Linked DNA regions of Callithrix jacchus. The protein of the gene in region 2 interacts with the protein of the main gene of each other region in a biochemical or structural test. Links are inferred from orthologs where the notes say so. Each region holds a gene or a part of one and is shown on either strand. Other genes may lie near its edges. The genes, in order: AMER1 and KEAP1.

Evidence for each region.
Region 1: the proteins of KEAP1 (region 2) and AMER1 form a complex in vitro, tested with the Homo sapiens proteins (2 studies listed by BioGRID). The link is inferred for Callithrix jacchus from reciprocal best matches to the Homo sapiens genes KEAP1 and AMER1.

The regions. Positions count from the first base shown.
Region 1 is NC_133524.1:61,515,858-61,532,012, forward strand, and holds the start of AMER1 (APC membrane recruitment protein 1), read right to left. Parts: upstream 8,348-16,155; 5' UTR 8,246-8,347; intron 7,681-8,245; exon of another isoform or gene 7,383-7,680; intron 6,516-7,382; exon of another isoform or gene 6,394-6,515; intron 1-6,393. UniProt on the Homo sapiens protein: Regulator of the canonical Wnt signaling pathway.
Region 2 is NC_133523.1:9,667,040-9,683,094, forward strand, and holds the end of KEAP1 (kelch-like ECH-associated protein 1), read right to left. Parts: intron 15,334-16,055; 5' UTR 15,287-15,333; coding exon 14,648-15,286; intron 11,593-14,647; coding exon 10,907-11,592; intron 9,128-10,906; coding exon 8,922-9,127; intron 8,641-8,921; coding exon 8,464-8,640; intron 6,612-8,463; coding exon 6,445-6,611; 3' UTR 5,932-6,444; downstream 1-5,931. UniProt on the Homo sapiens protein: Substrate-specific adapter of a BCR (BTB-CUL3-RBX1) E3 ubiquitin ligase complex that regulates the response to oxidative stress by targeting NFE2L2/NRF2 for ubiquitination.

The DNA.
Region 1 (16,155 bases), on a different chromosome or scaffold from region 2:
ATAGTAACTAACTTTCATTCATATTTTATTCAAACTATGGTAGGACGATTCTTAGAAGAAAAATCATCTCAGTCAGAGTTGAGTAGGGTGCTCCCTAGGGCTCTGTGGGTAAGTCACCAAACCTCCTTGGGGCTCATTTTCCCCAAATGGCAAATAGTAAATGAGGATAACTGTGTGGTGATGTCTTAGGAGGCTTTACTTGCTCATTCAGCCAACTTTTGAAATTCAGGGACCTAAAAGAGTCAGCAACTGGCTAGCAGCGAAGGATTATCTGGGACTTTCAACTAGCCAGGTTCTGTAGCCCAGGTCAAACTCAGCTAAAAGTACCAACATCAAAAGAAATGCAAATCGACAATACCCTCAGGGTATTTATCGCTTTACAAAGCACTCCCCACTCCCACACCCCCCATTTGCCTCCTCAGCCACCCATTAATCAGGCCTGGTGGGGGATGGCAACTCCTTGTCACAGAGAAGGAAACTGTGCAGAGACTTGGGAGAAGACTTGTCCAAGGTCACATAGTGTAATGGTGACAAAGCCACACTAGCTCCTAGAACTGTTGAGTCTCAGTTTCATGCCACTCTGCTATATTGTGCAGGCCACCAATCAAAGGAGGAAGACTGAGCGACAGAACTGCAAAGGTTCCCCTCATATCAGTAGGAACTATAATCTCCCACTCCCATCCCACCTCTGTTCCAGTCTAGCTAAGCCTTCTTTGCAGCATTTCCAGTCCACACTGGTTGCCACCGTTCAGGCCCTATGAAGCACATTCCAGAAAGCCTGCTGACATCAGAATATAGGGGCCAACAACCCAGCCTGTGGTTGCTCTCCTCACCAGCAACCCCACCATCACTCCTCTCAAACTACAGGACATGTCACTCTACTCCCCTTTTCCTTAAGAGATAGGTTTGAGTGGCCCAAAAACCAGAAACCTGCCAACATGGATGAAGATGAAGAATCTGAGCTATTTGAAGAGAATGACTTATCAGATGATCTGGAACTTGAATGATCTATTTCTAAAACCCATAGCCAAGTACTATTTGCTCAGGGCCTGAAGGAAGGCTTGCTTGGCTTGGTACCCTCTGATGGAGCTGCAGAGGCAGCTGGCAGAGCCCCCTCAGCTACACCTGCAACTACTCCTCCTCTAATTTCCAGCCTTCCTGCTGAGGGGTACCTCCTGCCCAGGGACATCTCACCAACTCCAGATACAGCAAGACCCCAAACTGGGACTTCTCTCCTCTGCCCCTATTCCCCCACCAGCCCCCTCAACTGACTTGTTCACATACTGAGCTTCATGTAATTCATTCATCTCTCTCAAATGGACCCTCCTTCATCTTACAGTCACTACCTCTAGCACATAGCAGGAGCTCAAACAACACTGATTCAACTGAAATCTAACTCAGCTGGTTTCTTGGCCCAGAACTGGAATGTCAGCCTCACCTTCTATTGGCTGTGTGGTTTGAGAAAGTGGCCTAACCTCTCTGAAACTCAAATGCTTTATCTGTAAAATGAAGAAAATGCTATTTATCATGCAAGATTGTGGTAAGAATTAGAGATGATCAGTGTAAAAGCAAACTGATAACTAGACACTAAGTGGATATTCAATAAAGGGCTCTCATAATGAGGCCACCTTTCTCTCCATCACCTCAACTGCCACCCCACATTCTCCAAAGGTGACACAAGCCTCTTAACTGAGCCCCCTCTAGTCCCTTCCTACTGCAGACTCCCTGGCTCCCCTCTTCGATCTTATCCATCCTGTACACTGTTGCCAGAGTCATTTTCTTACAACCCCTATTTCAACACATCACTCCTCCATTTATCAAATTATTCTGCATTGCCTGCAGGATAAGGGCCAAACCTCTGTGTCTGATATTGATGGCTTGCTCTCCCTGAGTGCCCCTGGCAAGTTTGTCAGCTTCGTTTCTCTACCTCTTGGCCCCAGCTCCAAATACACAGGGGCTTGCCCAGTCTGGGAGATGTGGTCATCCACATACCACCTCTCCCTAGAAATGGGATTTCCTGGCGAGGCTTCTTAGTGCCCCAGGTTTCTCCTCAAGCTCTTGAGGTCCCCTCCCTGCCCAGCTTCCCTTGAATGATAGGGGCTCTTACTTACCATTCCCATCCCAGGCTCCCAAACTTTCTTGGAGAGAGGTGCCTGCCTGCATAGGCTTCCACGAAGTCAGTACTAGACCAGCTAGAGAGTGAGATCAGACATGCACCAACTCTTCCCCACCCCCTCTTCAAATGAAGAACAGGAGAGGAGCTAACTCCAGGGAAACAGATGTGACAGAGCAGCTGAGGAAACCCTACAGAGGAGCAGCTGGGCCAAGTGAACAATGGAGGCCTCTGACATTCCTATGTGTCCACTCCCCTCTACAAACCATGCCCTGTGGGAAAGGCCAAGTGAGGAAACTGAGGCTTGGGAGGGGACTAGAAGAATGTGATTTGAGGAAGAACTCGATTTGAATCGGGGACCAGGAGCTTTGGACTTCTGTGTAAACTTGAGCAAATTCTTTCCCTGTTTTGGACCTCAGTTTCTTCATCTAAAAATGGGAAACTGGACCAGGGAGTCTGCTTGCTCCAGGTTGCCCTGAAAGGCTGGGAGAGGAGTGATCCTGTGCCCAGTTTTCTACTGGCTGCTGAGTCAGGAGGCATAGCAAGGAACACCGGATTGGCTGTGGGGGTCCTAGGTCTTACTGGTAGATCTGTTATCTAGCTGGCTGGACCTAGTTCACCACTTCAGGACAGCGGTGCACTGTAGCCCAGCCTCACTCCTTGCACCACCTCTCAACATTTTGCTCTTTCAGAATGCACTGGGCCTGGCCTGTGAATATTTCCAATATATCCAGAAAGGAGGGGGCCCAGAATTGGTCATGCCATTCCGTGCTCTCCTGAAAAGAGCCACAGCCCCAGGCCAGAAGGGCCAAACAGATGGAGAGGAAGGGTTAAGGCATGCTGACTGAGGATGGAAGGTTAGTATCCGTATCTGCTTGGAAGCCCAGCAGGGGAAAAAAACAGTAGGAGATGAAAGCAATGAAAGCTCTATGATGAAAAAAAAATGCAGATCAAAGGGTCGCAAAGGCCCCTGCAGCAGCAGTGTGCCTGCCTATGACCACACCATGCCCCTCAAGCCATTTTCTCCACTGTTCATATTTTCCCCGAATTCCAAAAGGGTGGAGAGAGCAAAGTAGTCTTAATAGGCTGGTACCTGTACCTCTGTAGTGGTTCTGGTTTCCCTGCCTGCCTTTGCTAGAAATACACTTACACATGCACAGGTTTGAAAAATAAGACAAAGCAGCGGAGATGGAAGACTCTGAGATTATTTAATTCAGAGAACAGAAGTTGGAGGTGAAGAGAGAATTTAGTGTCTATGAAATCTCTATTGGATTGTTAAGCAGACGAGCAATGGTGGCCAGCTGCTCTCAGCTCCTTCCCCCAACACATACACATACACACAAACACACATGCAAGGTTTAACTACAGCATGAAAGGCTCAGAATAGCCCTGAGAATGAACTGGACAATGAGGCAGGTGACCCAGAAGTGAGTGACACAGAAAGGCTATGAAATATTGCCATGGGGTCTTAACCCTTTATCACCCACTGCATCTGCCCAGACAGGATTCAGGCAGGGAAACTGAAATAACATTGGAAATTATCTCTTCTAGCCTCAGATACCCTATCTGTTAAGCAATGGGGGCTGGAAACCCCTTCTCCTTCTTAGTTCTACCTGCCAGGCTTGCTTCTGTTTCCTAGTGGAGCAGGGCTGTTTCTCCCACACATACTATCCAAGAGTGGAGATGTAACAGTTCTTGAGAAATTTTGTTTTTTGAGACAGGGTCTTTCTCTGCTGCCTAGGCTGGAGTGCAGTGGCATGAACATGGCTCACTGCAGCCTTGATGTCTCAGGCCCAAGAGATCCTTCTACCTCAGCCTTCCGAGTAGCTGGGACCACAGATGCACACCACCACCACCACCCCAGGCTAATTTTTTTGTATTTTTCATAGAGATGAGGTTTCACCATGTTGCCCAGGCTGGTCTCGAACTCCTGGGGTCAAGTGATCCACCTGGCTAGGCCTCCCAAAATGCTGGAATTGCATATGTGAACCACCATGCTTGAAGAATTTTTAACACCTCCACTATACTAGGAGGGGGTCATTAGACTGCCAGATTCTTTTAACTACTTCCTCTCCTTCTGAAATATTTAGTCCAAGCAAAGCTGCAGACCAAGACCAAGAGGCAAAAGAGATAGGAAACGACAGAGAGGTTCCTCTTATGAAGCTCCCAAGTTAACTCAGTCCCCCTTTCCTCTTAGGGAATGAGGGAGGTAAGATGAGGGTGATGGTTAATGAGATCTGCATTGATTCCTGTACAGCGGCCCTTTCCACTGAACACAGTAGAAAGGGCTGCTGTACAGGAAGCAGCAGTCTATCCCTAAATAGCTGTGTGACCTTAAGCAAGCCCCTGTTTCTTTCCAAGGCTCAGGATTCCCATCTGTAAGCACAGGAGTTCAACCTGGTGCTAACCCGAGGACCAACAAAAGCCCCCATCAGCAGAGGCCTGGGGGACACGTCTCAGCCCCAACCACGTTGGTATTTATGCCCAGCTTCCTACTTCTTCCTGCCTTTTCCCCTGCATTTCCAAAAGGAGGCTGACATACTAAAACTTTCCTTTGGAGGTAGCCTGCCCACAGCTCTATTTCCAGATTCAAAGGTGGCTTCTTACCTGCCTGACTTTGCAGCAAGCTTCTGATCCCTTTCTAAGACCCCATTCTAAATCTCATTTGAAAAGTTTGTATTATAGCATATATATATAAAAAAATACCAACTCCCTGCCAAGTCCCTACTCTTTGATGCCCCCTTCCCCTAAAAGGATCAGATTCCCTTTCTACAGCCCGGCATCTGGGAAACCCCACCACTGAGCCTCAACCTCTTCTCTACCTCTGAGCCACACCATCTAAACCAGAATAGACTCAGTTACCCCCCTCACCCTGCCTGTCAACCACTCTCTCCCCTCCCATTCCTAGGTCTGCTTACCCTTTGCCTACCAAACACCTCTACTCTCTGGCAGCTTCCAAGGATGATCCCCCTGCTTGTACAGATCTTTCATCTCTCTCTCCCTGTAGTTTGCCTCTAGGCTCATGAATCAGCAACCAAAGATATGCATAGTCTGGGGTCTGAGCATTCCAAATCCTGAGCCTGTTGTTGGGGGAGGATATATCCTAATTTTTTTCTTGTAATTGCAATCATCCCCCTTCTAATCTGTCCTTATTAGGCACAGTCAATACATATCTCAGCTTTGAGTACCATTTTTCTAGTCACTTTCATATGAATCAGGATAAGCACAAGTTGGAAAGGCAAAGGTCTTCTCGAAAACTACAAAGAAAGCAAGTCCTTCTGGAACAATCATTACACTTGGCTTTGAGAGGCTTGTGGCTGAGGTCCAGGTTTTATTTACTCCTCCAAAGGGTTATGAGAGAACCCAGACATCCATGATATCAGAGACACAAAACAGAGACAGGCCAACTTAATTATAGTCTGCCTCCTATTATAATTTAGGCCTGAATATGCCCAGGAGAAGTAAGCAGCCCTGGAGGAGTTCCGAGAAGAAAGAAGTCAACATGGGTGGGCAAGACCCAGGCAGAAAAGGCACCAAGGAAAAGGTAGGCCCAGAACTGGGGTCTGAGAAGTAAGATTTGGACAGGTGTAGGCTGAGTGGGTTTGAGCGTGTGCAAGGGAGTTACATAGAGCACATACATTAGGTGCCTGTTGGCCTGAGACAAGGCAGAGGGCAGGTCCAGCCCTGGGATGGAGATGCCCAGCTGCAAGTAGAGGTTTGTGTTGGGGCCTAATCAAGGTGGGAGGGGGTGACTGTAGTGTAATATCTGTGGTCCTGGCTCCTGTCATAAAAGTCCATATCTAGCCTTCCCCCAAGTGAGGGATTTACTGGGTCTCATTGCCCCTCCTCAAAGACACCAAAGCTTGCCTGGGCCCTGCAGCCCAAAGGGCTCTCCAAACCAGAGGTTAATCAAAGGTCCAAGAAGAGCCTACCAAGCCCCTCAGTTGCTTCCTCTGTCCTATTCCTCAGAAAGGGCTAAGAGCTCACTGCCAGAGGTACACCGTGGTGCAGTAACTGTACAGTGCGTGGGGCTGAATGAGGGGAGCTGCACTGGGGAAGGGGGCTCTGCTTGAAACCCAGTGGGGCAGGCAGTCCAACAGTGCAGTGCCCTGCCCTCCACCTTGCCCATGCCGCTGCAGCAGGCAAGCAGAGCCGCAGAGGGAGGTGTCTGTGTGCGGAACAAGGCTTGCCTTGACCCCACGTCCCATGCCAAGGGGAACGTGGCCAAACAGAGACCAGCTCTGCGGGGCCAGTTCAGCTGCCGCCTAGGTGCTTGGGCTGTGACGCATGCGGCCGGCCCAGCCCCTCACCACTGGGGGAGCGCAAGCAAAGTCCAGCGTTCGGGCGATCACCAGTGTCAGAAGTGCCTCCAGCAGACAATGACAGCGGCCTGGCGGGCTGGGTATGTTAAGTAACTGCGAAGTTGGAGGGTTTGGCCACCTCGCTAGATCTCTTGTACACACGGAGATGGTATGATGCGTTTCGTACTACAATGACGGACCTTTCGGCTTCTGGCAAGCCAGTGCCCCCCCAAACACCGTGTCCATCGCTATTTTTAAACCAGAGGCTGCAGAGAAAAAAGCGGCCAGTATCTTCCAAGGGAAAAGGAGGTGAGGCGAGGGGGGAGACAAAGCGGCCTTGCAGCTCTAACTCAAGGACTAGCTTGGGCCGCTGCTCTAACCCAAGGACCAGCAAGAGCCCGGCTGCCAGCCAGCCTGCCCGACCGCGGGGGCGGGCGCCAGATGCGCCTGGAGGCCCAGGAGGAGGGGCGCGGCTAGTTGGGGCCGCAAGGCCAAGGTTCTGAAGGGAAGTGTGCAACTGAGCTCAGCCCACAGGCCCGACTGAACTCCTCAGGGGAGGGGGCAGTCTGTGGATGTCTTAATCTACGCCAAAGCCGGTCTCTGTCGGGCCCAAGCCAGAACGCCAGCTTGAGTCCGCAGAAAGGAGGGACAGGCTGGAGATGCACAGGGGAGGAGAGGGGCGGCAGCCAGGCAGCCGGGGTGAGCAGTACCCGTGTAACACAGCTGTTCCAGCAAATGTGCTACAACAAAGCTGCGGAGCTCCCGGCCTACAAATGCACGACTTGGGGTGCTGGCTGGAGGCGCCCTTCCCGGGACTATGCGGCAGCACGTGCGGGCCCATCTCCGCCTCTCGGGAGAGCCGGGAGGGATGGCCCAGGCTAGCCTGCCTGCCTATCCGCCCTCCCCTCCCCCCTCCCCCCAGCGGTGGTCACTTGTGCCCAGGGGACTCAGGCCGCTCGGCCTCTTACCCGACAGTCCGCAAAGCGGGTTCCAAAGGAGAGGGGCGAGAGACCGGGACTCCGACCCGCCCAGTCCTCAGTGCACTCCTCCAGTCCGTAGGAGCAGAGCACGCGGGAATGCACCCGACCGCTGGCAGGCGGAGGCTCCTGGCTGTGCGCAACGCTTACCCGGCCCGGTCAGGTTCCCAGCGCGGTTATTGTCCGCTGCGCCGCCCTTGGCCGGGCTGCAGCCTAGGCTGCCGCGGCTGAGAGCGCCGCCACCGCAGCTGCTGCCCCTACCGCCGCGGCTCCAGTCACCTCCTGCACTGACTCCCCTTCCCCAGGCTTTGGGTAGCTCCCCCATACCCCCTCCCCCCCGTACTCCATGGCCACTGGGTGGGGCATCTGCGTCCTGATTGGCAGGGGCATGACCCAATCACTATGGTGAGAAGGCGTGCCCGGCCCGCCCACTGTTTTCCTTGGTGCGTTTCTCTTTAAATGCAAATAAGTACGGGCGTGGTGTTGGCAGGGGGCGGAGAGGGTGCGGAACCCCTGGCTGGGGCTCCCCTCTCCTGCCCCCACGCCGGGCGGGTAGTGGCGTGGCTGCACCGTGGCCTCAAGGAGCCGCTCCTGCCCGGATGGGGTTCACCGGATCCCTGGAGCTCGGTTTCGGTTTTCACGCACTCCTATTTCCGTGGCCGCTGTGCATTCGCTCTACTGTGCCCTGGCCGCCACCAGGCAATTCATTCCTCAGCTAGAGGCCAGCGGGGAGTAACGAGGCAGAGAGGTTGAGGGACTTTGCAGAACCTCTTAGCACCTCGGCCTGCCCATCCTTAGTCGTAGAGACAAGGCCCTGCGAATCGTGCCCCAGGCCACCCGGAGGAGGGACTCACCTGCCAGGAAAGTCAGCTGCAGCGCCTGCGCCCCAACTTCGTCCTCCTCTCTGGCACACCAGGGCCCTTAGAGACCGTAAAGGCCAACTTCCACCCGTTACTGACGTGTTGCCCCGACTCTGCTGCCCAGAGTAGGGAAAGCCCCTCCCCACAGTTACCCAGCCTGCCGGCGACACGGGCCAATTTGGAATCCAGAGCCCCGGGCTCCCCTTCCAGGATTGCTTTCACTTTTCTTCTCTGAGATGATACCTGTTTTCATAGTTTAACCCTCACCCAAATTTCCCACCTTCTATGGAATGTGGAGGGAATCTCCAAGGTCTCCAGAGTCCCCTTTCCCCCAATCCTTTGTGAGCCTGGCTTTGTGCAGGCCTTTTTCCCTGAAAAGTCTAAATATTAAGAGGAAAATCTTGTCTGGGTCCAAACCGGAGGTCAGCCTGAGGACAAAGTGAGGAGGCCTGTACTGGCCTTGTCTGCTACTGTGTGTAGGATGTGGCAGGGAGCCAGCCGAACTTGGGTCTCTAGCTTAAGGACATTAAGTGGCATTAGTGGCTGCCAGGGCCAGGTGAGCTGAGGCAACAAAGAATCTAGTTCTACCACTAGTTCAAGAATATCCAGAAGGCCCAGCCCTAAAACTCTGTGTGTCTAAAAAGGGAGGTGGGGGGATTAAAGTTAATGATAGGGAGAAGGATTAGAGAACAATGTGTGCTATTTTTGCATTGCAGGAGTGTTCTCTGCTGCTTCTGAGTCCTGGCAGTCTTGAAAAGATCCAGCTGCTGAACTGGTAAGAGGGGGACTGCTGCCTCTGCATGGGTGGAGCACAAGAACTGACATAGCTGCTAGGGATCTGACTCCACCTCTACCTTAGACTTGCTAGACACCTTGGCCAATTCATTTTCCTCTCTGGGCCAGTCCATCACCCCATCACCATGAGGAGAGGGTAAGCATCATCAGGCCCCCTTGATATCTTTGAGATCTGACAGTTCAACTCATTTTCTTTCTATAATATTCCATGACTTTCCATGGAATATTATGGAAAACATATATGTTCCATCACCTTTCATGACATTAAATACATTGCCAGCAAAACTCAATACTGAACATTAGAGTCCCATCCTAGTACCCAGTCTAAATAAATGGTGAGGAGTAAGGAGCTGCTGCTGGCTCATTATGCAACTTTTTCCCATCAGGATGGCTGGACTATAAAGGTTTCCCTGGGGCTATGCTTTCCTGCTTCGCAAAGTCCTGATTCTCATTTGTGGGCCTGATTTTGAAGTGTCTTTTCTTTTCCAGAACCTTCATTATATCTCCTTCCTACCTCATGCCTCTGGTCACTGCAACTTGTTCACATTTTACTCAGAACTTTGATTCACTGAATCAGACCAAGATTATGATTCGGAGAAGCAGTTTATAAACTTGGGATTCAGGGAAACAAAAGGCCAGAGCAGTCTCAGTTGTGGAAGCAGGGCAAGAGGAGGTGTGCGAAGTAGTCAGGTGGCAGGCTCGAAGTAGTTCCAGGCACTATTGTGCTGCTCCTGTCACAGGGGCTAGTCTTCTATACCTTCTGCCCAGCCACCAAACATTCTGTGACACCAGCCCATTTTTGGAGTGACTAGTGTGGGAGAAACAACTCATGAGAAATTGAGCTAAGTCCTAAAGAAATGGGGCTTCAGGTAAGCAAAAATATTCTGTGATGCTAGAGATCTCCCAGCTGAGCACCTTTCTTTGTGGTCCTGATATTACTGAGTCTTGGGAGGATATTGTGTGTGTGTTAAGGGGAAAAGGATGTGGGAGGGGACAACACAGCTTCTTGTTTGTATGGCCCATTTCTCTCCAGGGACGATGTATGGATAAATCAAGTGTGTGCATAAACTTGCACCTCAAAATGCCTCCCTGCACAGAGAGTACTCTAAGGCCCTATTCCACATGCTAACTGACACGTGATCAACTTGTTTGGTCAAGATAGGCACTGGTGGTGGGTAGCAGGAATACTTTCTTCAGTTTGTTTGCCTGAAAAATGGAGATAATCCTCGTGCTGCCTAGTGTCTTGTGGCTGCGGTGAAAAGCTGGTAAGAACAGATGTCTGGGCTTTGTGGAGGCAACTCCATAAACTCAAGTAGACAGACTAGGCCACATCATTACAATGCCCGTTTCTTTCTTCACCAAGTTTTCCATAGTCATTTCCTCTATGCCTGGCCTGTTGATAGGTACTGGGGGAAGCAGTACAGTGATAACCATTTTGAGGCACCTGGGAATGGGGTTCTGAGAGGAACTGAAAGCTAGACTAGAGGTCTGGCAAAGGTGTTCTGGAGCATTGCAGATGAAAAGACTCCTTCTCCCCAGGGTGGCAAGGGGAATCAGAGAAATGTTCCATGGACGATAGCTTTGATGGTTGGATCAAATGAGAAAAGTAGGGGAAAGGTTTCTGCCCAAGCCAAAGCCCATCGGTGAGAGGGTATGGTGGGTTGGGCAAGAGCTATGATTCTGGATGGCTGTGGCTAAGTATTTGTGTAGTGGGGAGAGGAAGAGCTGGACATTATACCAGAAAGAAAGGCCTGGGGCCAAAGTGTAAGAGACTGTGACTGCCTGGATAAATTGAGGCTCAACTAGCTAAGTTCATCCTTCCCAGGGATGTGGTACGTTGTAGTGGCTCTGCCACCAGACTGCCTGGGCTGGGATGCCAGGCTCACCAGTTAGAAGCAATATGATCTTGGCTGGCTAATTCACCTGTCTGAGTCTCAACATTTTTTTTTCTGCAAAATGAGAATAATAGCACCAATATCACAGAATTGTGTAAGATTTGAATAGTCCATGTAAAGTGGCACAGAGACTAGTCCATATGCTGGTCTCAATAAATGTTAGCTACTGATACTGTTATTATTATTGGTCTCCTTCTGATCCAATGTACAGATCTTCAGAATTATGGAAATGCTAATTTGACTTTGAAGCCAGTTTTTAATGTAAACACACACGAGGCTATGATTTCTTATGCACAGATTCATTTTGATCGTGCAAACCCAGACTCAGTTTCCCAGGGAAGAATCTGTTGTTCAACTTTATATCCTCAGCACCCAACAGAGAGCTTGGCACAAACTTGGTGATGAGCATGTGTTTACTGAACATAGTCAAATGAGGCATTTTCAGGCCTAATATCAAGCTTAAGTGCCAGCATTCACCAGTGAAGTGTGATGTTACCACTCATTGAGCACCTCCTTTATGCCATGCCCTGTGTTAAGTGACACACTCATTACCCAGAATGATGGACTACACACAGCTTCTGGCCTCAAGGGCAGTCAGTCTAGTGGAGGAGGAAAAAAACTCATGAGTTTTTTACTTGGGCAAGGGACTGCTGGATGGTGTTGTCATCCACTGAACTGATGAATATAGGAACAGAATTCGGAAAATGTAACGATTTTGGTTAGGACATACAGAATTTTGTCAGAAATCCCACTTAGGGTCTTTGTGCAGGCTGTTCCCTCTGCCTACAATGTTTGTCCTCTGAATATTGCCATAGTTTGCACCTCAGTTCCTTCAGGTAGCTGCTCAAATGTCATTAATAGTGACACATTCACTGGACAGTTGATTTATAAAATAGCAATCCCCATTTCCACCCCCTTCACTCTCCAATTCTTTAATTGGGCTTTGTTTTTTTCTTATCCATAGCATTTACCACCTCTTGGTATATGTCTTATTGTTATTTATTTATTTTCGTGTCATGTTTAAATTGTCTGTTTCTCATTATGAAAATGGAAACTCTGTGAGGGATAGACAATGAACAAATACATACATAAAATATACAATACTTCAGATGACAATAAATGTGATGGCAATCCTAGTGTAGTGGCATGTGCCTGTAGTCCCAGCTACTCAGGAGGCTGAAGCAGGAGGATAGCTTAAGTCCAGGAGTTCTGGGCTGTAGTGCACTATGCTGATAGGGTGTCTGCATTAAGTTCAGCATTAGTATGGTGACCTCCCAGGAGAGGGGGACCATCAGGCTGCCTAAGGAGGTATGAATTGGCTAAGATCAGAAATGGAGCATGTAAAAACTTCCATGTTGATCAGTAATGGGATTGTGCCTGTGAATGGCCACTGCACTGCAGTCCGGGGAACACTGACCTTGTCTCTTAAAAAAATAATATGATAAAGAAAAATAGACCAGGGAATGGGTACAGGGAGTACTGAGGGGTGCTCTTTTAAACAAGGAAGTTGGAGAAGGTGATATTTTAGCAAAGATCTAGAGCAACTGAGAGAGCAAACCATGAGGATGTCTAGAGAAAGAGCGTTCCAGGTAAATACAAAGTCTCTGACGTGGTGACATGCTGAAATGTTAGAGGAGCATCTAGGCAAGCCAGTGTACCTGGAACACAGTGAGTGTGGAGGAAAGTTGTAGACGAGGAGGTCAGAGAGGACGCAGGGAAACAGACAATGTACAGTTTTGTGAATCATTTTAACGACTTTAGACTTTGCAGGATTTTGAGCTGAGGAGTCACATGACTTTAGTAAAACATCTGGGGAGCTATAGCAGCAAGGAAAGAAGCAGAGATGTCAGGAAGGAGGCTCTGATCAGGATCCATATCAGGTTAGAGGCAGTGGAGGTGGTGGAAACTGATTGGACGCTGGATGTATTTGGAAGACAGAACTGGCTGGACTTGGTGTTGACACCTTAGATGAATGGTGTGAGAGAAAGAGGAGACTGAAGAATACAAGCCCACAAAGCCCTGAGGAGGGATTGGCAATGTGAAACCAGAGCAAAGAGAAATGGCTCTCCTGGAAGCCAAGTAAGGTACTGGGATTTTATAAAAGACAGAGTTACCAAGAGCATATGTGTCAGATGCTGCCCAGAAATCCAGCAAGATACAGGCAGAAAAGATGCCATTGGATGTGAATCTGGCAAGTCACTGGTGATATGGGCAAGGCTAGTTCAGGACAGAGCTGTAGATATACACCACACTGTGCTGGGGTGTCAGGAGAATGGTCTATGAGAAAAGGGAAAATGTATGCAGCTTCCTTGTTCTAGAAATTTGACCGCAAATATGTAATAGATAGAGGGGGCTCTGGAGTTCGGGTTTGTTTTTACAAGATGGAAGGAGGTGAGTTTGTTTATGTGCTGAGGGGAAAAGAAATCAATCAAGTAGAAGATATAGGTAACAAGATAATTGATGGGTGGGGGCTACAGGTGAGAGTGGAGGATGGAATCCAGAGCCCTTACAGATGAGTTAGCTTTTGCTGCAGTAGGGATCAAGACAAGAGGGAAAAATGGGTGGATTCAGTGGAGTCTGTTGTTATGGAAGATTGAAGATGCCACTCCTTATCACCCTTACCTGCTCTGGGAAGAAGGAGGCAAAATTCTTAGTTGGCAGTGAGAGGAAAAGCAATACTGGAGGGAGGTTCAAGGAAGACTGTTAATTTGGACAAGATTTGAAATAGCCACTGTGGACAATGGGCTAGTTGGTAAAGGCCCAACTAGGCTGTCAACCAATAATGTATAGCCACCTCATTCTGCAGTTCTGTGACATCCTGCTTCCTAGCTGTGTGGCCTAGAGCAACTTCACCTACTTAACTTCACTGCACCTCAATTTCCTCATCTATAAAATGGGCATGAGTAAAACGAAGCATTGAATTAAATGAGTTAATCCATGTGAAGTGATTACTGAGGACACTGCCTGGCACATATAAGTACTTGATGGAAATAAACTCTTGAGAGTTATTTTTATTTTTGATTGACAAATCATAATTGTATACACTTACGGGATATATGATATTTTTATATATGTATACAATGTGGCATGATTAAATCAAGCTAATTAACATATCCATCACCTTGTTTACCTGTCATTTTTTTTATGGTGAGACATTTGAAATTAACTGTCTTCGTTACTTTGAAATAAATAATGCATTCTTACTGCCTTCAGTCACTGTCCTGTGCAATTGATCTCAAAACCTGTTTCTCCTGTGTATTAGCCAGTGTTCTCTAGAGGAACAGGATTAATAGAATAGATGTATATATAAAAGGGAGTTTATTAAGGAGAATTGACTCACATGATCACAAGGTGAAGTCCCAGAATAGGCTGTGTGCAAGCTGAGGAGCAAGGAAGCCAGTCCAAATTGGAACACTGCAAAGGTGGGGAGGCTGACATTGCAGTCTTCAGTCAGTGGTGAAGGCCTGAGAGCACCTAACAAACCACTGGTGTAAGTCCAAGAGTCTGAAAGCTGAAGAACTTGGAACGTGATGTTCTAGGGCAGAAAGCATCCAGCACAAGAGAATGATGAAGGCTGAAAGACTCAGACAGTCTATGCCTTCCATGTTCTTCTGCCTGCTTTATTCCAGCTGAGCTGGCAGCTGGTTAGATTGTGCTCACCCAGGTTGAGAGTGGGTCTGCCTCTCCCAGTCCACTGACTGAAACGTTAATCTCCTTTGGCAACACCCTCATAGACACACCCAGGAAAAATACTTGGCATCCTTCAATCCAATCAAGCAGACACTCAATATTAACCATGATAAGTCCACCCCTTGTCAACTTGAACCCATACACATCTCCTGAAATCATATGTAATCTTTAAATAAAGACAATAGTAAGGTCAAAATTATGCCTAACATAATATACAACCAGAAGGTGACTAATCCTCAGCCTAAATGCTATTGCATAAAGATAACAACATTTAAATGCTGATAGGAAGTCAATAAATCTTATGTCACATGATAAAGGAAAAAAGAGGGAAATAAAATGAAGATATTTTCTCAGTGCAAGTGTATACATACATAGACATGTTCTTAACAAAATAAGGAGGAAATACTCATGACAATTACAGCCCTCATTTCTGCAACTGCTCTGCAACTGTTATTGATGACTATAATCTTCTAATACCCATTTTGCATTCCTTCCCTTGAGCAAGCACCTCAGCAGGTCATGGTTTTTTACCTGGTGGATTGACCCAAACCTTCATTTCTGAAGGATCTGGGCTATCTGTAGTCCTGCCTGGATTGGGTTGTTGTAGTTTCTCATTGACTTTAATCACAGGGTACAGTAATACTATGAGACACTGTAAGGGACCTCCTTGCTTACCTCCATTGTGGAGTAGTAGACTGATTTTAACTTGACAGTCTGGGTCAATCACCTCAGCCAACATTGGAACTTCCTTGTTAGCCTGTTGACTTAGAGGTAGGAGGAGCCCAAAGTCTCTGGGTGGCAATCTTAACTTCCAGTATAATGGAATCATTACTGTGTCTCCTTGTGGCAGTATTTCTCCCTCTGAAACTAAGACCTCTAGGCCAGCAGAAAGTAATGAACAGGAAGCAAAACTTTTGCTAGTGGGTCACTAGGGGTGATGGTGAGTGGTGCTACTTCCACCCATTGATTACTGAACCCGTGAGTCCTGGCTATAGGAGGAGCAGTACCATATATTGGACACTGATTCAGAGCATACAAAGCCTTCTGGAGAATTGTGCCCCAGCCCTGCAAAGTATTGTCACCTAGTTGGTGTTGTACTTATGACTTCAAAAGGCCATTTCACTGTTCTATTAATCCAGCTGCTTCAGGATGATGGGAAACATGATAATACCAGTGAATTCCAGGAGCATAAGCCCACCACCACACTTTTTTAGCCATAAAGTGTGGACCTTGGTCAGAGGCAAGGCTGTGTGGAGCACCGTGACCGTGGATAAGGCATTCTGCGAGTTCACAGATGGTAGTCTTTACAGAATCATTGCATGTAGGATATTCAAACCCATATCCAGAATAAGTGTCTGTCCTGGGGAGGACAAACCGCTGCCCTCTCCATGATGGAAGAGGTGCAATATAATCAACCTGCCACAAAGTAGCTGGCTGATCACCGAGAGGAATGGTGTCATAAGGAGGGCTCAGGGTTGGTCTCTGCTGCTAGCAAATTTGGTACTCAGCAGTGGCTGTAGTTAG
Region 2 (16,055 bases):
AGCTCTATTAAGTAGGTGCTCTTATTATAAAATGGGTCACAGGCATAGGCAGGGAGGGAGGCAGGGCAGGGAGTCCGAGACCATGAGCGCCCCCTGGAGTAGATCTGGGGAGCTACAGCAGAATTGGGATGCAGCGCACACGCAGAACGGGTGGGAGGCGTGGCGAGAACCAGCGGGAGTTTTTTCCCCCACTACGATTGGCTGGTGTAATTGTCATCCCTTAAAAAGGCAGCCAATGAGAGGCGCGGCCGCTTCGCCCTTCGAAGCCGAGGGCTGAGCGAAGCGAGGTGCGGCGGAACCCAAGGCACCCGGGAGGCAGCGGGAGCCACGGACCCCGAGGCGGCTGAGGGTCCCTGGTGTCACTCTGTCTTGAGAGTGGCCCCAGAGTCGTTCCTACTCTCTTTGGTAGACCCCAGCATCGTCCTCCTTTTCCTGAGAATATCCTGGCATCAGTCGCCCATTCCTGAAGGGGACGCTTGGCATCCTCCCTTTTTTCTGAGTGATCCCAGAGTCGTCCTCACTTCCTGAGGGGAATCCTGGCGTCATCCTCCTTCCTGAAAGGGCCCTGCTGTCAGTCCCCTGTCCTGATGGCCGGCACCGCATTGTCCTTTCCTCCTGCGGGAAACCCAGGCATCATCCCCTCTTCCTGGAGGGACCCTCATGCCATTATCCCTTCCTGAGGGGACCCCAGAGCCGTCCCCCCTCCCTCAAGGCTTCCCAGCGTTGTTCCTTCTTCCTGAGAAGGAGCCTGGTACTCCAGAATGTTTCCTGTCATTGTCCTCCCCACACTCAGAAGGGATCTGTCACACACACACCCTTTTTCTGAGATCAGTCCCTTCCTTGCTTCCAGTTTAAAGCAAAGGCTTCAGTGGACCCATAGATGGGAGAAGGCCCAAAGACCCCCTTCTCTGTGCTTCCTTGCCCCCTGTTGAGCAGAGGGGAAGGCAAGACTCAGCTCACCTCGAGAAGATGGGGGGAACCAAAACCAGCTGATAAAGAAATTCACTATGTCACACGTGGTGGCGGCGCCTCTAATCTCAGCTATTCCGTAGGCTGAGGCAGAATTGCTTGAACCTAGGAGGCGGATGTTGCAGTGAGCCGCGATAGCGCCACTGCACTCCAGCCTGGGTGACAGAGCTAGACTGTGTCTCAAAGAAAAAAAAAATTAGCTGGAAAAAAAAATTTCTCCCGGCCAGGCTCTGAGAATTAAAAAAAAATAAAATTAGCTGAGTATGGGCTTCTCTGTAATCCCAGCTACTCGGGAGGCTGAGACAGGAGAATTGCTTGAACCTGGGAGGTGGAGGTTGCATTGAGCCAATATTGTGCCACTGTTCTCCAGCCTGGGTGACAGAGCAAGACTCTGTCAAAAGAAAAAAAAAAAAAAGGCAGCACCATAAAATCAGTTACAACCCTGAGCAGTGGATATGGTGTTGGTGCTCACAGGAGGGTGGGTCCTTTAAATAGGGAACTTCCTCAAAGCATGTGCAGTTTTTTTTTTTTTTTTTTTTTTTGAGACAGAGTTTCGCTGCTGTTACCCAGACTGGAGTGCAATGGCCCCATCTCGGCTCACCGCAATCTCAGCCTTCTGGGTTCAAGCAATTCTCCTGTCTCAGCCTCCCGAGTAGCTGGGACTACAGGCGCGCACCACCATGCCCAGCTAATTTTTGTATTTTTAGTAGAGTCGGGGTTTCACCTTGTTGACCAGGATGGTCTAGATCTCTTGACCTCGTGATCCACCCACCCCGGCCTCCCAAAATGCTGGGATTATAGGCGTGAGCCACTGTGCCTGGCCATCGCATGTGTAGTTTTATTTGATTTATAAGAAATATCAGGCGGAGAATTGCCTGAACCCAGGAGGCAGAGGTTGCGGTGAGCCGAGATCGTACCATTGCACTCCAGCCTGGGTAACAAGAGCAAAACTCCATCTCAAAAAAAGAAAAGAAATAAATATCATTTGTTCTGAAGTTTTGACGAATGCTACTTTTGTTGCCCAGGGTGGAGTAAAATGGCAGGCTCTCAGCTCACGGCAACCTCTGCCTCCTGGGTTCAAGCGATTCTACTACCTCAGCTTCCTGGGTAGTTGGGATTACAGGCACCTGCCACCATGCCCGGCTAATACTTGTATTTTTAGTGGAGACAGGGTTTCACCATGTTGGCCAGGCTGATCTCGAACTCCTGACCTCAAGTGATCTGCCTGCCATGGCTTCCCAAAGTGCTGGGATCATAGGCATGAGCATCGTTCCTGGCCTTAAGAATGCTACTTTTAAAAATAGGAACAAGCCAGGAACTCAATCTTGTTCCGTTTCTGACTTTCCTAAGTTCCTGTTAGGCCAGGCTCAGTGGCTCACGCCTGTAATCCCAGCACTTTGGGAGACCAAGGTGGGTGGATCACGAGGTCAAGAGATCAAGACCATCCTGGTCAATATGGTGAAACCCCGTCTCTACTAAAAATACAAAAAATTAGCTGGGCATGCTGGTGCGTGCCTGTAATCCCAGCTACTCAGGAGGCTGAGGCAGAATTGCCTGAACCCAGGAGGCGGAGGTTGCCGTCAGCCGAGATGGCGCCATTGCACTCCAGCCTGGGTAACAAGAGCAAAACTCAGTCTCCAAAAAAAAAAAAAAAAGTTCCTCTTTCACCCAGAGGCCCACAAGAGGGTGCTATCTGCCTTTTAGATGGAACTTCCTGAATCAGCCCTGAGGATATTCATCACAGAGCTATACATTCTGAGTAGCTGGGATTACGGGCACACACCACCTCACCTGGCTACTTTTTGTGTTTTTAGTAAAGACAGCGCTTTGCCATGTAGGCCAGACTGGTCTCAAATTTCTGACCTCAAGTGATCCACCTGCTTCGGCCTCCCAAAGTGCCAGGATTACAGGTGTGAGCCACCGAGCCCAGCCTATGTATTCATTTTAGTCTTGCTCTGTCACCCAGGCTGGAGTACAGTGGTGCAATCTTGGCTCAGTGCAACCTCTGCCTCCCAGGTTCAAGTGATTCTCCTGCCTTAGCCTCCAGGGTAGCTGGGACTGCAGGCTTGTGCCACTGCACCTGCCTAATTTTTTTATTTTTAGTAGAGACACGGTTTTGCCATGTTTGCCAGTCCGGTCTTGAATTACTGACCTCGTGATCCGCCCACCTCAGCCTCCCAAAGTGCTGGGATTACAGGTGTGAGCCACTGCATCTGGCCTTATTTTATTTTAGAGAGTTGGTATATCACTATGTCACCCAGGCTAGAGTACTGTAGTGCAATCATAGCTCAATGTAGCCTCAAACTCCCGGGCTCGAGTGACCCTCCTGCCTCAGCCTCCCAAAGTGCTGGGATTATTGGCATGAACCACTGTACCTGGACAGCCTGTCATTTTTATTTATTTTTATTTTTGAGAGAGTCTTACTCTTTCACCCAGGTTGGAGTGCAGTGACACGATCTTTTGCTTTATTTCCCAGGCTGGTCTTGAACTCCTGGGCTCAAGGGATCCCCTGACTCAGCCTCCCGAAGTGCTGGTAATGTAATATTTACTTAGGAATGAGGTAAGTACTGGAAACCTGAAATGCTGAAATAAGGCAGAATTGTCAAGATTGTTGAAGTTAGAATGATCACGATAACATTTAACACCGGAGCACCTTAGCTGTATAATTTAAAATTCACAGGCTGGTCCAGGTGTGGTGGCTCACTCCTGTAATACCAGCACTTTGGGAGGCCAAGGTGGGTGGATCACTTGAGGTCAGGAGTTCGAGACCAGCCTGACCAACATGGTGAAATCCTGTGTCTTAAAAATAAAAAATAAATAACAAAAAAATAACAAAAAACAAAAATTAGCCAGGAATGGTAGCCTGTAATCCCAGCTACTGGGAAGGTTGGGGCAGGAGAATCGCTTGAACCCAGGAGGCAGAGGTTGCAGTGAGCGGAGATTGCACCACTGCACTCCAGCCTGGGCAACAGAGCAACTCCATCTCAAAAAAAAAAAAAAAGAAAGAAATTAATAATTAAATAAATGAATTTATGAAGCACTCCCAGGAAAACAGCAGGAATGTAATGTGTCAAGTGCTTTGGGGGAGAATCTGGCAGCATCTGCTAGGGCTTTGCCTCTTTGATGATCTAATCAATTCCACCTCATAGCATCCACCTTGAGAAAACACACAGTTGTGCCTACAGAGACACAACTACAAGAGGGCGTTGAAGCCTTTGCGTGTAATTCTGAGAAAACAGAAACAACTTAACCATCTGTCCCTAATGGAAGAGACAGAACACCAGGCAGCTGGTTACAGGAATGTGACGCCACAGATGGTCTAGAAGATCTGAAGGAAAAAAGGCAAGTTGCAGAATGCAGGCAGCATCATCCATTTGTGTAAAGGAACAGAACATTGCTGCAAAGTTTTTCTGTTTGTTTGTCGTAAGATTAGAGTGGGGCTGGAATGGTGAGAGAGTAAGATTTGCTATTTTACAATTAGCCAGGCACGGTGGCAGACGCCTGGAGTCCCAGCTACCTGGGAGGCTGAGGCACAAGAATTGCTTGAACCTGGGAGGCAGAGGTTGCAGTGAGCTGAGATCCAGCTACTGCACTCCAGCCGGAATGTCAGAGGGGGACTTGGTCTCAAAATCAAGCAATCAAAATGTGACTTCACCAGAACCCTGCCTGCTGGTCCCTCAATACATGTAGTCCCTCAGCTGCAGCATCTGGCTTACCTGTGGTGTGGCCAACAGCCCTGGTTTATGTGGCTTGGGGGCTGCCAGCCTTTCTATGCTCAAACTTGGATAAATGGGTCACCCAGCCCGAGGTCAGGCATCACTGCAGGTTCGTTCACCACCATCTCCCCAAAGCCCAGAATAGGGACTCAAAAGAAGTTGGTTTTTGTGGAGTTGGAAAGTGGGTGTAGGCCGGGCAACATGGCAAAAATAAATTACAAAAAATAAATTAGCAGGGCATGGTGGTCCCAGCTATTGAAGAGGCTGAGCTGGGAGGATTTCCTCATTGCAGTAAGTTGAGGCTGCAGTGAGCCGTGACCACCCCACTACACTGCAGCCTGAGTGACGGATGAGATTGTCTCAAAAAAAAAGAAAAAAGAAACAGCTGATACCAAAATTGCTTAATTGAATTGACTAAACTTTTTTTTTTTTTTAAAAAAACAAGGTCTCGGCCAGGCGCAGCTCTTTGTGGGCTGAGTGGGGCAGATCACCTGAGGTCAGGAGTTTGAGACCAGCGTGGCCAACACGGCAGAACCATTTTCGTCTCTACTAAAAATACGAAAATGAGCCGGGTGCGGTGGCTCATGCCTATAATCCCAGCACTTTGGGAGGCTGAGGCGGGCGGATCACCTGAGGTCAGGAGTTCAAGACCAGCCTGACCAATATGGTGAAACCCTGTCTTTAAAAAAAAAAAAAACGAAAATGGCCAAGCGTGGTGGCTCATGCCTGTAATCCCAACACTTTGGGAGGCTGAGGTGGGCAGATTACCTGAGGTCAGGAGTTCAAGACCAGCCTGACCAACATGGAGAAACACTGTCTCTACTAAAAATACAAAATTAGCTGGGCATGGTGTTGGGTGCCTGTAATCCCAGCTACTTGGGAGGCTGAGGCAGGAGAATTGCTTGAACCCAGGAGGTGGAGGTTGCGGTGAGCCAAGATCGAGCCATTGCACTCCAGCCTGGGCAACAAGCATGAAACTGTCTCAAAAAAAAGAAATTGACCTTGGGGAGCCCTAGGAGATGTGGAGATGTCACAAGGAATTAGCTCCTTTGTCTTCCAAGGCAGCTGAAACTTAAAGACAACTGTGTGGCTTGCTGATGGGGAGAAAGATGCCCTACATATCAAAATGCGACGGGTAAAGATTCCAAACTGGTTTCAATGACCAGCCCTAAGTCAAAGAGAAGTGTATTTCAGGAGAAGAGCCCTTTCTGTCTCCGGGTTTCAGACCTTCAGCCGAGAGCCAGGGTGAAAGACACTAGTTAGTCTGTTCTTTATTTTCCTTGGAAAATTACAGGGTTACTTATCAACAAAATAACTGTCCAGGGAAGTGCCATTTGGTGGCTTGTATGTACAGTTCCATCCCTAGGAACCGTATTTCCAGAGGGGGCCTCCCCGTGAGGCCCCCTTGGCACCCTCCCAGGTATCCAAGAACAAATCATAAGGTGACGGCTGCTGGAGTGGGTCGGACCCAGGCCTACTGCTGGGCAGAGGGTTTGGGGGCCTCTCTCCTGGAAACCTGCTCTTCTCACACCCCTGTTCCCAGCCAGGCTGTCTTGGACACTCCTGGGGCTCTGCTGAGGGCACATGGTTCCTGCTTTGGACTTCTTTTGAGATGTCATTTTAACACTGAGGCATCCCGGCCTCCCTTCCCAGAGGATGGGTTATTTGCAGTGCCGTCTTTTCTTTCAGTCCCGGTTTTTATACAAAAACAACAATATTCCCCATTGGACTGTGTTTTCGTCCAAGAAACAAAAGTGCCTCAACAGGTACAGTTCTGCTGGTCGATCTGCTTCCGACAGGGCTCCATGGTGACAGCCACGCCCACCCCACTCCGGCCTGATGTCATTCGGGTCACCTCACTCCAGGTGTCTGTGTCTGGGTCATAACACTCCACACTGTCCAGGAATGTGTGACCGTCATAGCCTCCTACAGGGAGAACAGAAGGGACGGTTACCACCTGTCATGCCACATCCAAAAGCAGGGGACAGAAAGAGGGAGAAGCAGCTGCAAGATACAAAAGCAGGCCGGGCATGGTGGCTCACACCTATAATCCCAGCACTTTGCAGGGCTTAGGCGGGAGGATTGTTTGAGGCCAGGAGTTCGAGGCCAGCCAGGGCGACATAGCAAAACCCTAGTCTCTTACAAAAAAAAAAAAGGCCAGGCATGGTAGCTCAGGCCTGTAATCCCAGCACTTTGGGAGGCTGAGGCAGGTGGATCACTTGAGTCCAGGAGTTTGAGACCAGCCTGGGCAACATGGTGAAGCCCTGTCTCTACAAAAAAAGACAAAAATTTAGCCAGGCATGGTGGTGCTCGCCTGTAGTCCCAGCTACTAGGGAGGCTGAGGTGGGGAGGAACAGTTGAGCCTGGGAGGCCGAGGTTGCAGTGAGCAGAGATTGCACCACTGTACTCTAGCCTGGGAAACAGAGTAAGACCGTGTCTCAAAATAAATCAATAAAAATAGGCCGCTCATGGTGGCTCATGATTGCAATCCCAGCACTTTGGAGGCTGAGGCGGGCAGATCACCTGAGTTCAATACTATCCTGGACAACATAGTGAAACCCTGTATGCACAAAATGTACAAAAATTAGCTGGGCTTGGTGTCGCATGCCTATAATCCCAGCTACTTGGGAGGTGGAGATAGAATGTTTAAACCAGGGAGGAGGAGACTGCAATGAGCCAGTGTTGTGCCACTGCACTCCAGTGTGGGCAACAGAGTAAGACTTTCTCTCAAAAGTAGTAAATAGATAAAAATTTTAAAACATAAAACAAAAGCTGGACAGAGTGGCTCACGCCTGTAATCCTAACAGTTTGGGAGGCCGAAGCAGGTGGATCACTTGAGGTCAGGAGTTTGAGACTAGCTTGGCCAACATGGAGAAACCCCATCTCTACTAAAAATACAAAATTAGCCAGGTATGGTGATGTGCACCTGTAGTCCCAGCTACTTGGGAGGCTGAGACAGGAGAATTGCTTGAACCTGGGAGGCGGAGGTTGCAGTGAGCTGAGATCGCACTATTGCACTCCAGCCTCGGTAACAAGAGTGAAACTCCTCAACAAAACAAAATAAAAAGAAATAAGATTAGCCAGGTGTGGTGGGTGCATGCCTATGGTCCCCGATCCTTGGGAGGCTGAGACAGGAGGATGGCTGGAGCCCAGGTGGTTAAGGCTGCAGTGAGCTGTGATCACACTACTGCACTCCAGCCTGGGCAACAGAGCAAGACCCTGTTTCTTTTCTTTTCACTTTTTTTTTTTTTTTTTTTTTTTAAGAGACGGGGTTTCACCATGTTGACCAGGATGGTCTTGATCTTTTGATCTTGTGATCTGCCCGCCTTGGCCTCCCAAAATGCTGGGATTACAGGTGTGAGCCACTGCGCCCGGCTTTGCTTTTCTTTTTTAGATGGAGTTTTGCTCTTGTTGCCCAGGCTGGAGTGCAAGGTGCAATTTCAGCTTACTGCAACCTCTGCCTCCCGGGTTCAAGCAATTCTCGTGCCTCAGCCTCCTGAGTAGCTGAGATTACAAGCGTGCTCCACTATGCCTGGCTAATTTTTGTATTTTTAGTAGAGACAGGGTTTTACCACGTTGGCCATGCTCGTCTCAAACTCCTGACCTCAGGTGATCTACCCGCTTCAGACTCCCAAAGTGCTGGGATTACAGGCGTGAGCTACCGTGCCCAGCCATGAGACACTGTTTCTAAAAAAAAAAAGAAAAGAAAAGCAAAAGCAGCCACCTGTCCACAACAGATGAGACTAGTCAGGACTCTTCCCCACCCCCAGGGCCTCACCAAGGACGTAGATTCTCCCCTGGTGCACAGTGATCCCCAGGGCACTTCGCCGGTGCTTCATGGGGGCCACGAACGTCCACGTCTCTGTTTCCACGTCATACCGCTCCACGCTGTTCAGCTGATCCTGACCATCATAGCCCCCGGCAGCATAGATACAGTTGTGCAGGACGCAGACACCTAAAGGACACCGTGCACAGAAGGTGATTCTGGGGTCTGGCTTCAGGAACCCCAGCCATCACCTCCTTGAGGGAGACTTTTCCTCTCTCCTCTACCTTCTCACCCTCAGAAATGAAGTGGGAGAGAGAGAAGCTTGGACTCCATCAGAATCCAGTGCTTCTGTGGGTACCCAGGGTGAGGGTGACAACAGGGGGGTCTCTCCCAGGCCTGGTTCAGTTTCACCCTAGGATGATGAGGGGGTGGTGGTCCTGGACGCTCCCCTCCCTGCCGTCCTCAAGTACCTGCCCCGCTCCGGATGGTGTTCATGGGTGTGATCATTCGCCACTCGTTCCGCTCTAGATAATAGCACTCAGCTGAATTAAGGCGGTTCGTCCCATCAAATCCCCCGACGGCATATAGCAGACGATTCAGGACGGCCACGCCCACCCCGATCCTTCGTGTCAGCATTGGGGCCACCAAGTGCCACTCATCTCGCTCTGGCTCATACCTGCAAGGGCGTGAGAACAATGGTGACAATGGCCATTATAGCTGACCTTTGTGGAATACTTAAGGGCCCTGTTCGTTCTTTTTTGCTTCCCTTAAATAGACAAGGTCTTGTTCTGTTGTCCAGGCTGGAGAGCAGTGGCACCATCACAGCTTAATGAAACTTCAGACCCTTCTTTTTTTTTTTTGAGATGGAGTTTTTGCTCGTCACCCAGGCTGGAGTGCAACAGCACGATCTCTGCTCACTGTGACCTCCACCTCCTGGGTTCAAGTGATTCTCCAGCCTCAGCCTCCAGAGTAGCTGGGATTACAGGCACCCACCACCTGCCCGGCTAATTTTTTTTTTTTGAGACGGAGACTAGCTCTATCACCCAGGTGCCAGAGTGCAGTGGCATGATCTTGGCTCACTGCAACCTCCACCTCCCGGGTTCAGGTAATTCTTCTGCCTCAGCCTCCAAGTAGCTGGGATTAGAGGTGTCCACCGCAATGCCCGGCTAATTTTATATTTTTAGTAGAGATGGGCTTTCACTGTGTTAGCCAGGCGGGACTTGATCTCCTGACCTCATGATCCACCTGCCTTGGCCTCCCAAAGTGCTGGGATTACAAGTGTGAGACACTGCACCTGGCCTGATTTTTGTATTTTTAGTAGAAATGGGGTTTTTCCATGTTGGCCAGGCTGGTCTCAAACTCCTAACCTCAAGTGATCCACCTGCCTCAGCCTCCCAAAGTGCTGGGATTACAGACATGAGCCACCACACTTGGCCTGCAGCTTCAAACTCTTGGGCTCCAGAAATCCTCCTGGCTCAGCCTCCTAAGTAGCTGGGACTACAGGTGCACGCCACTGCGCCCACCTACCCTCAAACACCAATGTTTGCAGCCATTCTCCAAGGACTGATATCCGTAGCTCCATTTTCCAGGTGAAGAAACTGAGCCTCCAGGCCATCAACTGCTCAAGTTCAAAACCATATCTGATGGGCCCCTAAGGGCTCAGCCAGACCCCACACTTCACAGATGATAAAATAACATCTCAGAAAGGAGAAATGGCATATTCAGCTTCACTCGTTGATGCTCACAGAGTCCTTTAGGTCCGGCCTAGTGGCTCACAGCTGTAATCCCAGCACTTTGGGAGGCCGAGGTGGGAGAATCCCTTGAGGAAAGGAGTCCAAGACCAGCCTGGCCAACATGGCAAAACCCCATCTCTACAAAAAATACAAAAATTAGCCAGGCATGGTGGCAGGTATCTGTAGTCCCAGCTACTCGGGGGCGCTGAGGCAGGAGAGTCACTTGAACCTGGAAGGCGGAGGCTGCAGTGACCCAAGATGGCACCAGTGCACTCCAGCCTAGGTAGCAAAGCAAGACACTGTCTTAAAAATAAATTTTTTTTTTTTTTGGTAGAGACAAGGTCTCACTATATTGCCCAGGCTAGTCTCCTGGGCTCAAGCAATCCTCCCACCTCAGCCTCCCAAAGTCCTGGATTACAGGTATGAGCCACGATGCCTGGCTCAACTATTTCAAACTGATGGAACTTTTTCCAGATCTACACAAAGGAAACCATATGGGTTTGTGACAGTCAGTCCCCTAAGCATTTCCCAGCCCCAGGCACAGAATCCGAGGTCACTGACTAGAACTCTCTCAGGAACTTAGCTTCATCCTGAGGCCTCCACTCCCTGCAGACAAAAAGAGGAGACAGGCACTCAGCCTCAGGAAGAATCCCCAAGTCTCAGCATCTTGGGACCTGCCAGGAGTGGGAGCCTCAGAGCCCACTCCCGGCCATACCACTCACCTCTCCACACTGTTGTGGTGGATGCAGCCGTGGGAGCCACCGACGGCATAGATGTGCCCATCGATGACCCCCACCCCGATGCGATTGCGGGGCACACTCATGGGAGCACAGGGCGACCACTGATTGGTCATGGGGTTGTAGCAGTCCAGGGCGCTGGAGTCGGTGTTGCCGTCGGGGGAGTTGTTCCGGCCGCCCACGGCGTACAACAGCCCGCCCACCACGCAGCCGGCCAGGCCACTCCGTGGCACCTGCAGGTCCGCCAACCGGAGCCAGGTGTTGTCACTAGGGTTGTAAGCCTCCAGGTAGCTGAGCGACTGTCGGAAGTAGCCGCCCGCGGTGTAGATCAGGCGGCCCACCTTGGGCGCCCGGCAGGGCATCATCTGCGTGGGCTTGTGCAGGGTGAGCTCCTCGAAGATCTTGACCAGGTAGTCCTTGCAGCGGGAGTCCGACTGCAGGATCTCACACTTCTGCAGCTGCATCTGCAGGAAGTTCGGCGTCAGCGAGTGGCAGCGCACGGCCCGCAGCAGCGCCTGGACATAGAAGCGCCGCTGCTCGCAGTCGTACTTGACCCAGTTGATGCAGGCGTGGAAGACCTCGGACTCGCAGCGCACGTTCAGGTCGTCCCTGCTGATCAGGGTCACCAGTTGGCAGTGGGACAGGTTGAAGAACTCCTCTTGCTTGGCCACCTGCAGAGGGCGACAGTGGGAAGGCTGACTCCCAAATCGCCCCCACCCCTCACCAAGCAGGACCCAGGACAAGAAGCTCACCAGTGCCGCTGAGAGTCTCAGCTTCCTCATCTGCTAAATGGGGATCTGAATGATAGGAACCGCATACATTGTAACCATTAAATGAGTTAATGCTACATGCCAGGCATGTCATCAGGACTCAGGGAAATGGGCAAAGACTCAATAGATGGTATACCCTGCAGTATCATTTGTTTTTTGGTTTTGTTTGTTTTTTGAGATGGAGTCTCAGTCACCCAGGCTGCAGTGCAGTGGCACTATCTCGGCTCACTGCAACCTCCGCTTCCCAGGTTCAAGTTATTCTCCCACCTCACCCACCTGAGTAGCTGAGATTACAGGCGCCCACCAATATGCCCAGCTAATTTTATTTCTTTCTTTTTCTTTTCCTTTTTTTTTGATACAGAGTCTCGCTCTGTTGCCCAAGCTGGAGTGCAGTGGTGAAATCTTGGTTCACTGCAACCTTTGCCTCCCGGGTTCAAGCAATTCTCCTGCCTCAGTCTCCCAAGTAGCTAGGATTACAGGAGTGTGCCACCACACTCAGATAATTTTTTTGTATTTATTTATTTTGAGACAGAGTCTCACTCTGTCACCCAGACTGAAGTCCAGTGGCGCAATCTCGGCTCACTGCAAACTCTGCCTCCCAGGTTCAAGTGATTCTCCTGCCTCAGCCTCCCCAGTAGCTGGGATTACAGGCACCTGCCATCATGCCTGGCTAATTTTTTTGTATTTTTAATAGATATGGGGTTTCTCCATGTTGGCCAGGCTGGTTTCAAGCTCCTAATTTCAGGTGATCCTCCCGCCTTGGCCTCCCAAAGTGCTGGGATTACAGGCCTGAGCCATTGCACCCAGCCTTGTATTTATTTTTAGTAGAGAGGGGGTTTCACTATGTTGGTCAGGCTGGAATTTTTGTATTGTTAGTACAGATGAGGTTTCTCCATGTTGGCCAAGCTTGTCTCAAACTCTTGATCTTACATGATCTGCCCATCTCAGCCTCCCACAGTGCTGGGGTTACAGGTGTGTGAGCTACCACACCCGACCTGTTTTTGCTTTTAAGACAGGGTTTTGCTTTGTTGCTCAGGTTGGAGTGCAGTGGCACGATTATAGCTCACTGCAGCCTCAAATTTCTGGGCTCAAACGATCTTCTCACCTCAGCCTTCCGAGTCACTGGGACTACAGGTGTGTGCTACCACACCCAGCTAATTTTTGTATTTTTATGGTAGAGATGGGGTTTCACCATGTTGGCCAGGCTGGTCTTGAACTCCTGACCTCAAGTGATCCACCTGCCTTGACCTCCCAAATTGCTGAGATTACAGACAGGAGCCACCGCACCCAGCCTTGTCGTTTTTTGATGTGGGATCTCACTTTGTTGCCCGGGCTGGTCTCGAACTCTTAAGCTCAAATGATTCTCCTACCTCAGCCTCCTGAGTAGCTGGGATTACAGGTGTGCATCACCATAACTGACTTGGTTTTTGAACTTTAAGAATGTGTTACTTATAGGGCTGGATGCGGTAATCCAGCCTGTAATCCAAGCACTTTGGGAGGCCAAGGTGGGCAGATCACCTGAGGTCAGGAGTTCAAGACCAGCCTGGCCATCATGGTGAAACCCCATCTTTAAAAAATAAAATAAAATAAAATAAAAAGAATATGTTACTTATTTTTTCTGAGTTTATTTTTATTTTTATTTTTTTGAGACGGAATCTCGCTGTCACCCAGGCTTGGGTGCAATGGTGCGATCTTGGCTCACTGCAATGTCCACCTCCCAGGTTCAAAGGATTCTCCTGTCTCAACTTCCCAAGTAGCAGGGACTACAGTCAAATGCCAGCATGCCTGGCTAATTTTCCTTTTTTTGTATTTTTGGTAAGAGATGGGGTTTCACCACATTGGTCAGGCTGGTCTCAAACTCCTGACCTCAGGTGATCCACCTGCCTCGGCCTCCCAAAGTGCTGAGATTACAGGTGTGAGCCACGGTGCCTGGCCAAGACGGGGTATAACCATGTTGGTCAGGGTGGCCTCAAATTCCTGACCTCAAGTGATCCGCTTGCTTCAGCTTCCCAAAGTGCTGGGATTACAGACCTGAGCCACAGCACCTGGCCCTTTCTTGTCAATTTCTATAGATAATTTCCTTCACTGAGAAATGAAAATGAAACCAAAAACAGTGTAAGGAAATTTCGTGCACCAAAAAAAACAAGACTAAGGTTCAGACTTGCAGCCTGTTATGGGTGTCTGATAAACATTTGCTGACTGCCCAAAAGGCTGGGCTGCCCCAGGATTTGGCTGCTTTTCACTGCATTCTGTCCCCACCTTTGACCCCAAAGAAACCAGGGAGCCCAGAGACCCAAGAAGACCTCACCTCCCCCAGCTGTTCACAAGTCTCCCTACATGTGTAGACAACTCAGAACTCCAGTTGTTTTTTAAATTTTTTTTTTTTGAGACTGAGTCTTGCTCTGTCACCCAGACTGGAGTGTTGCGGCTCGATGTCGGCTCACTGCAACCTCCGCCTCCCAGGTTCAAGAGATTCTCCTGCCTCAGCCTCCCAAGCAGCTGGGACTACAGGTGCACCACCATGCCCAACTAATTTTTGTATTTTCAGCAGAGATGGGTTTTCACCATGTTGGCCAGGCTGGTCTTGAACTCCTGACCTCAGGTGATCTACCTGCCTTGGCCTCCCAAAGTGGGACTGCAAACGTGAGCCACCATGCCCAGCCCCTGTTGTTTCTTGTTTGTTTGTTTGTTTACAGACAGGGTCTCATTATGTTGCCCAAGCTGGTCTTGAACTCTTGGCCTCAAGCGATCCTCCCACCTCGGCCTCCCAAAGTGTGGGGACTGCAAACGTGAGCCACCATGCCCAGCCCAGAACCTCCTTTTTCTCCAGTTTCCTGCCTTCATATCTCAATGGGAGACAGTGACCTTTCACATCTCAAGATGGGAGACTGTGATGAGCACTCCTCCATCCCTGGTCCTTCACCTGACACTACCGCCAGCCCCGTCCCCCGCTCACCTCCCCGAAATGCATGTAGATGTACTCCCGGGCACGCTGGTGCAACTCCACACAGCCAATCTGCTCAGCGAAGTTGGCGATGCCGATGGCATTGCTGGGGTCCAGCTGCTGCACCAGGAAGTCACTACAGGCACGGACAACGCTGTCGATCTGGTACATGACAGCACCGTTCATGACGTGGAGGACACATTTCTCGCCCATGGAGATGGAGGCTGTGTAGGCGAATTCGATGAGGCGCTCCATGACCTTGGGGTGGATGCCCTCGATGGACACCACCTCCATGCCCTGCTCCCGCAGCCCATTGGTGAACATGGCCTTGAAGACAGGGCTAGAAGAGGCCAGCACCACCTTGTGAGCCATGAACTGAGCGGCTGGCGTGTCCTGGTACTTGACCTGCAGGGTGACGTCACACAGCTGCTGGCTGAGCCGCAGCTCATTCATGATGCCAAAGGCCTGCTTGGTATGATCCTCCAGGGTGTAGCTGAAGGTGCGGTTGCCGTGCTGGGAGGGCGTCACCTCCGCCTTGCACTCCGTGGAGGCGTACATCACTGCGTCCCCTCCCCCGTCGGGGCACTCTGACCGCAGGGGCAGGAATCTGCTGCAGGCCCCAGCTCCGCTAGGCCTGGGTTCTGGCTGCATGGGGTTCCAGCAGATAAGCAACACCACCACCTCTGGTACTCAGGGGCCTGGAGGGGAGACAGCACAGGGTAGGGGGCAGGGGTTGGGGCTGGGCCAGCACCTGCTTGGCCTCCTTTTGTAAGAGAAAGCAATTTCTAGGTCAGTTTTCCTGCAAAGTAGGTGAAGCAGAGTCTATTTGCAAACTTGCAAACTTCCCCCTGACCGGACCAGCCCAAGAGCTCATCTTAAAACGCAGGTGAGATTATGTCTCTCCCCAGCTCTGGATCCTCCAACATCTCCCACAGTACCTAGTAAAATAGAACTCCTCAACAGCCTGCAAAGCCCTATTCAATTGGCCCCTGCCACCTCTTCCCTTTGCTCATTCTGTTTCAGTAATCTGGTGGTCTTTCCCTTTCTAGAGCATACCAAGCTCATTCCTTCATTTGCCTCACCATTTATTGGGTGTTTACTGTATGCCAGGCACTGATCTGGGTGCTGAAGACACAGCAGTGAGCAAAACACACAAAAATCCTACCCTCCTGGAGCTAACAACTGCAGGGAGGAACAATCATAAATTAGGCAAAATCTAGCTTCATAAAGAGAATTACAATGGCATTGTGACAAGCTAGTCAAGCTATTCTCAAGCCTCAGTCTCCTGAGTAGCTACAATTACAGGCGCTAGCCACCACAACGGGCTGAGAATCGGGTGCAGTTTGTTTTTTGTGGTTTTTTTTTTTTTTTTGAGACAGAGTCTCACTCTGTCACCCAGGCTGGAGTGCAATGGCAGGAT